2 linked regions of the Drosophila melanogaster genome follow. The protein of the gene in region 1 purifies or fractionates together with the protein of each later gene. This does not show direct contact. Each region holds a gene or a part of one and is shown on either strand. Other genes may lie near its edges.

The links. The genes of interacting proteins can lie anywhere in the genome.
Region 2: the proteins of Mis12 (region 1) and Spc105R purify together in Drosophila melanogaster (affinity purification with mass spectrometry; 2 studies listed by BioGRID, with this or other methods). This does not show direct contact.

Annotation. Positions count from the first base shown.
Region 1 is NT_037436.4:6,967,482-6,970,997, forward strand, and holds Mis12 (Mis12), read right to left. Parts: upstream 1,568-3,516; 5' UTR 1,454-1,567; coding exon 1,384-1,453; intron 1,321-1,383; coding exon 1,028-1,320; intron 916-1,027; coding exon 733-915; 3' UTR 554-732; downstream 1-553. Other genes in the region: CG10064 (uncharacterized protein), read right to left, coding at 1-326; CG9953 (uncharacterized protein), read left to right, coding at 2,351-3,138, 3,200-3,338, 3,401-3,516.
Region 2 is NT_037436.4:20,798,262-20,802,015, forward strand, and holds the start of Spc105R (Spc105-related), read left to right. Parts: upstream 1-2,148; 5' UTR 2,149-2,217; coding exon 2,218-2,244; exon of another isoform or gene 2,245-2,281; coding exon of another isoform or gene 2,282-2,305; coding exon 2,306-2,409; intron 2,410-2,461; coding exon 2,462-3,207; intron 3,208-3,283; coding exon 3,284-3,754. Other genes in the region: CG3698 (uncharacterized protein), read right to left, coding at 1-90; tzn (tenzing norgay), read left to right, coding at 529-727, 882-1,729.

The sequences.
Region 1 (3,516 bases):
ACCTTGTGCAGATCGTGGCGAGCGATCTCCTTGCGCTGATCGTAATTCCAGATGATCACATAGCCGCGGAAGCCCATGTGATTGATCTGACCGGAGGCCATGTATTTGCCACTCTTGCTGAGATCCAGGCACGATATGGTGTTCGTGTGTCCGGCCACAAACTCCTGCGTATTCTTCTTGTAGTCGGCGATGCCGATTTTGTTGCCCAGCGCAAAGATGATGGATCCCGTGACCGGATGCTGGCGCACTCCATTCTCCACCTTGCCATTGATGCCGAAGATTGCGCGCGGCAGCAGCTGCCTGCAGACATCGTGCGAGTCTCCCATTTTTCCAGGCTTATAGCAAAATATACGATTCGAAATGTAACATATAAGGGGGTTTTTGTGTCTGTTCTGTGCTTGAAACTTTTTAACCGGCTTGTTTTCTGTTTGAAAACAAGGCAGTTGGAAAATTTAAACAGCGACCGTTGCTTGGTTGCCGCTGTTGTCAAAGGAACTAATATAATGCTAAGGTAAATTGGTTTAAAACTAGTAAGTAATCATCTAGGTGTTTCGGATTCATAATAATTTTAATTTAATTTAATTTTAAGTTTAAAACTAAGTTAACGACATAATAATAGGTAAAGTGGAATATAGAAGAGTCTTAGTGATTATAAATGACTCCAGGGTTAAAACTAGTTTCGAAAGAAGATATTGGAAATGTAGATTAAAAAACTTGATCCAGTTAGTTTATTTAATCAGTCTCCTTCTTTATCTGCAGGGGCACTTGATTCCAGAATTGCTTCAGCTTGGTGATGTTGAGGGAGGAGCAGCTTCGCTGCACGCGATCCTGCATTTCGATCTCCTTCTGGATGAGATCCTCCATGGCGGCGTACTTCTCCTCCTCGATCTTCAAATGCGCCAGCATGGCCATGTTCTGAAATTGATGTGATTTAGCATTATTAAAACATAAAATAAAGCATCCTTTTCCCCATTATAATGATTAAAATGAGGCATACAAGATAGTTTCCATTGGTTCTACAAGTTACCTCTCTGTATTTGGCCTTCAGCTCCTCCAACCTGGCTGTCTTCTGCTCCTCCTCTTCGCTGGTATACTGATTCTCGACGAACATGTGCTCCGGATGCAGCACATGCGGTGGAACGTGGAACACTTTGCTGTCCAGTTCCCTGAGGGCTTTTAGGCCCTTGGAGGCGGATGCCTGGAAACGACGCTCAACGGTCTCCTTCTCGGCTTCCAGCAATTCCGCTGTGGCGGGTGTCTTGATCTTGTCGATGATCTGACCAATACCCTTCTTAATTATGTCCTGCACAATATGTTCGCCTATTTAAAAGGAATTAATGGATAAAGGACGCTGATCCAGAGATATAAGGATGTAGCACTCACGCTCTGCAGACAACTGTGCCGCTGTGAAATTGAAGAACTTCTGATCGTAGGCTAGGCTATTGAAGTCCATTATGACAGTTAACAACAATATTTTTTTTAAATTATATTACAATTAAACTGGATAAAAACGTAAACAATCCAAATTGTCGCGCAATTAGTGTTACCGTTTTCAGAATACAAAGAGATGCTACCACAGCAACAGTGCTGCCATACTTAGCTACAAAATCTAGTTACTAAATTTGGCTACTTATAACTGACTATACAGATGAAAAATATAAAAACAACGCATACACATGCACAATTTCCTAAAATTTTTGACAAATACATTTATTAAGCTTTCGCATTAACGGCACAGTGAAACTCCACAATAATATTTACCTAATATATGGAATAATTCAAATAAACTATATGTTGTTTATTAAAGCTACCTAAAGCATTTGAAATTCAGGAAACTTCCATTAAATTAGTTCAGTGAGAATTTAAAATTACACGCAGATGGAAATTATCAAAGCATGCAAGAATGTATACTTTTCTTAATTACTTGACAAAAATTTTGCAAAACACGTTCACATTTACGGTGCTATTAAGCTCATCGATAATATCTAGCTAGGAAATAATATAAATAAATAAAAAGCTAAATTAAGTTTTGTAAAGTTACCAGAACACTTACAGCATACAGAAATCTTTCTCTGCTTAAAATTAAATTAATTCAATTAATGATTGAAATCAATAACTATGAATGCCCCTACTGTTTTAGTTTTGCTTTGCCGGCTTTGCGAATATAGATAATACAGCGAGAACTGAATAATCAGGAGAGTGCGACACACATAACGGTGCCTATATAAATAGAACACACCACTCTCCTTCAGTCGCTATTTACAGTTAGGCACTGTGCGAGGTTCCAACTAATTAAATACTTCAATTACTGGCAAATTCTACTTGACCCGAACAAACAAAGGAAGCAAATATGCTTTTCATTGGGGGCGTTTTGAGGCCCTTGGGAGTGGGTCTTCTGCTCCTGGGACTGCTTGCGCCCATTTCCGGAATGGGATTTCGACGCGGAAGGCTGACCAAGGGATTCCTCGGGGAGCCCAGCAAGATTCCAACCCTGCAAAGGAGCCTGCACTCGGAGGATCTGTGGTTCGAGCAGCGATTGGATCACTTCAAGTCGAGCGATAAGCGCACCTGGCAGCAGCGATACTTTGTGAATGCCGACTTCTATCGGAATGACAGCTCCGCACCCGTATTCCTGATGATCGGTGGCGAGGGCGAGGCGTCGGCCAAGTGGATGCGCGAAGGAGCCTGGGTGCACTATGCCGAGCACTTTGGAGCGCTGTGTCTGCAGTTGGAGCATCGTTTCTATGGCAAGAGCCATCCCACCGCTGATCTGTCCACCGAAAATCTGCACTATCTCAGCTCGGAGCAGGCTCTGGAGGACTTGGCCAGCTTTGTAACCGCCATGAAGGTTAAGTTCAATCTGGGCGATGGCCAGAAATGGATCGCTTTCGGTGGCTCCTATCCGGGATCGCTGGCCGCCTGGGCACGCGAGAAGTATCCCGAGCTCATCTACGGTTCAATTAGCTCCAGTGGTCCTCTGCTGGCTGAGGTTGACTTCAAGGAGTATTTCGAGGTGGTCAAAGCCTCTCTAGCTGCCTACAAGCCCGAATGCGTGGACGCCGTGACCCGCAGCTTTGCGCAAGTGGAGATTCTACTCAAGCACATGATTGGACAACGCAGCCTGGACGAGAAGTTCAAGTGAGTGGATTAGGCTATCGTCCTGCACAAATTTTAATTTTGTAAACCATTTTATACTCAGAACATGCACTCCCATCAAGGACTCCATTGAAAACGACCTGGACATGGCCAATTTCTTTGAGAATCTGGCTGGCAACTTTGCTGGAGTGGTGCAATACAACAAGGACAACAGTCCCCATGCCACCATCACCATTGACGACGTGTGTTTCATCCTCACTTTGATCCCTATCAAGTCCATACTAAGAATGTTTGAACTCCATAGATCTGCGATGTCATGCTAAACACCACGGCTGGTCCACCTGTGACCCGTTTGGGCCTGGTCAACGATATGCTATTGAAGGAATCGAACACCACCTGCCTGGACTACAAGTACGACAA
Region 2 (3,754 bases), about 14 Mb from region 1:
AGACTGCAGCTTGGCCGTCACCCCCACGTGGTTCACCTTGATCAGGTTGGACTTGGAGGTGGCGCAATGGGGATCGGTTGATTCCGACATAGTGACTTTATGTTCTAAACTTATGACGTGCCGCTTCAAAGCCAACTGACGTCTTTTTCGTACATATGATCTGAATTCAAGTTAGGCGTGCCAAAAAGTTAACTTATAAGCTTTTTACCACAGAAGAGAACATATACTCTTTGGCCTAGAGACAAGAATATATAATTTAATATAAAAATGTATTTTTATTATTATTGGCTTATGTCTGTGCTATAAAACTTTTCATTTCCGGTTTGAGCCACCACTACGTTTGCAGGTATGTTTCGGTATATTTCCGGTAGATGGTGTACCCGTCAGTGGTTTCCCTTACCGGCCCCCAAACGGTCACACTCGCCCGAGCATAGCAGATTTGGAGAAAAAAACAACTGTAATTAGGAGCCATAATTAATTCATTTCGAATCGCACACGCTTTTCAGTTTATCTAGCCGAAAGTACAGAATGTTGGCCTCCGCCTGGCGCAGCGTGGCCACCTCCGTGGAGACCCAGTTGACGGCCACCTACTTCCGAGGTTCGTCCAGCAATCCGACACTGCTCCTGCGTTCCTGGCGGACGATTCCTCGAGCGGATGCCCCTGGTTTCGGAGCGATTCGGCGGCGTTTTCTGGCTGTGCCCGTCATCTGTCCAAGTCTCGTCAAGCGTAATCTATCCGTACATACGTGTTTAATCTAATCTCTCCCGGTGCTGCAATTTCATTTCCCAGTATCTACGCTTTTTGTTCGTCCGTAGCTAGTCAGTCTGTTTATCTGTTGGCCATCTATGTAGCTAAATGTGAAACCATCGCTTCGTTTCAGTGCAAAAACTACGAAAAGTCGGCTTCAGAGGCATGCACAGCACATTGGAGGACGTGCAGCTGGAGGGCATGGAGATCAAGATCCTGCCGGCCCTGCAGGATAACTATATGTATCTGATTGTAGACACGAAGACGCGCGAGGCGGCCGTGGTGGATCCCGTGGAGCCGGAGCTGGTCATTAAGACGGTGCAGGAGCAGCAGCTGACCCTCAGCAAGGTGCTGACCACGCACCATCACTGGGACCACGCCGGTGGCAATGAAAAGCTGCTCAAGCTGTGGGAGAAGGAGCTGGACGTGTATGGCGGCGATGACCGCATCGGGGCATTGAACAAAAAGGTTCAGCAGGACGACACCTTCACCATTGGTGGTCTGCATGTCAAGTGCTTGTCCACGCCGTGCCACACTACCGGCCACATCTGCTACCACATCACCGCGCAGCAGGGCAGCGGCGAGGGAGCCGTCTTCACCGGCGACACCCTCTTCCAGGGCGGATGCGGCCGCTTCTTCGAGGGCACTCCCGAGGAAATGTACGAGGCGCTGTGCACAAAGCTCTCCGCCTTGCCGGACGCCACAAAGGTGTTCTGTGGCCACGAGTACACGCTGCAGAACATGAGCTTCGCCCGTCACGTCGAGCCCGACAACGAGGTCATCCAGCAGAGGATCGAGTGGGCCAAGCACCGGCGCGCCTCCCAGGATCCCACTGTGCCCTCCACCATTGGCGAGGAGAAGTCCTGGAACCCCTTTATGCGCGTTCACGAAGCCACCGTGCAGAAGCACGCTGGCGGAGCCACCGATCCCGTCGTCACCATGGGCAAGCTGCGCAAGGAAAAGGACACCTTCAAAGCCTGATCTATTTCCTCGAAAGTTTCGAAACTTGTGATTTAATATTGGATTTTAATGGTTAATAAAATTAACGATGTGTGTGAAGTGCGGACAATGGATTTTTAATTATTCGCAATTTATCGGATTAAAACTTTTTTTGTTTTATTCAAATTATGACATAAATTTATTTCTTCAGCTTTATTTAAAAGAATTTATTTTTGGTATTTTGGTCTAGCAACACCCTAGAGAAGAGGGTACTGGTTGATTCCAACTTTATTCATAGAGCAATGAACTTAACAAATTTTTTAAATCCAAAGATTTTAGCAAATTTCGTAAAATTTGAATCACAACGGTTTTGGTTAGGCGTTAGTGCCTTTTGGGCATATCAAAAATACTTTTGGTATTTCTAGCGATCTATCGCCAACGATCTGGCAACACCGTCTGCCATTAACACAAAAATCGCGGCGTCTCTCCAATGGGATTTTGAAATAAAAACAAGTTAACAGCACGGCGCGATGAACGCAAACAAACGCAGAAGTTCGGTGGGTTCTTCGAAAATTAATTGATTGAGAAGCGCTCATGGTAGACCTACTCTTCTTGCAGCTGCGTAAGGTGCCGACCAAGGAAGATGAGGCGACCACAACAACGTCCGCGATCAAACAACAAATCAAGCGACGCATCAGTTTCAGTGGCAAGAAGTCCGTGAGGTACGTACAGTAGATATATGCGATGTACAACGCTCACCCGCCCTCCACATAGGGAATTCGTAAACACCAAGGAGACCAACAACTGGGACGACTCGTACGAGGTGTCGGAACACCATGCTGAGGACAGCTCGGGATCGAAGTGCTGCAGCACAGGATCAGCATCAGTAGCGAGGGTTTCCGAACATGCCGACAAGGAGAACATTCCCCTGCCCAGCCACTGCGAGCGGGAACATGTCGATCTGTCCGTGAATCTGCAGGCCAGCGTGGATTTCACCCTGCTGCCCTGCGAAATGATGGACAAATCGAGGAAGACATCCTCAATCTCTGCTGTGTCCTTTTGCATGACCTCCGAGGAGCGAAAACTGTTGCAAAGCAGTCTCAGCGACCGCCAGCTGGTAGACAAGACCATGGATCTGATATCCGGATCTCTCGTCAACCGCCACCAAATCGCGTCGAGCGTTTGTGAGGAATCCTCCATCAAAGTGGCAACAAACAAACTGGAGAAGGTGGTATTCACGCCAGCTGTCAAGGCTGTGAGTGACTCCTTCATGGACATCACGCCATTGGGATTTACTGATCCCAATCCTGCTGCTCCCGCTCCAGCTCCAGTTGCAACTCTATATCCTCCAACTCAACAAAGTTTAATGGAGCTCGAAGAGGACAGCATTGTAAGGGAGATGCGTGAGTCCACCAAAAACCAGACAAAAACTCCGGCGCAGAAATCGCTTTTCATGGACGTGGGGGAGACCAAGAATAAAACCCAACAGGGAGCTGGAGGTGCATCCTTCTCATTAAATGGTTAGTATTATCTCAGTTAAATCCCTTCCCAATAGTTTCTAATTAGCAAGTTTTCGGTTGTCACATTATTTTGCAGTTTCCAATAACCGAGATCGTTCGCCATCGAACTCCTTTGAGAGCCTTAATAGCACCATGAACTTTACGAGAGATGAGTCGATGCTGATACCATTCGACATGATTTCGGGGAAAAACATAAGCAAGAAACTCAATTTTCGTCAACTCAACGAAGACCTGGAGACGGGTAAGATCCAGATATTTCCGAACGGGCCAAAAACGCCGACCACGGATCGTAAGGCCAAGAAAAATCGGTTTTGGTGCGGCCTTGAAGAGGAGAGCGCGGGAGATAATAGTCCAAAGAAAGATATAAGAAGCATAGTGCCACGAGGAATGTTAAATTTCAGTGAGAACATGACCTTGACGCCGACGAAAACAAGTCCAGTTGGAAAGAACAAGGAGAAACTAAAGGCGGCGGATGAGAAGCAGAAGTATCGACTATCCCAGGCGGATGAGATGATGCTTGACAATACAAACTTCTTGGCCCACGCCA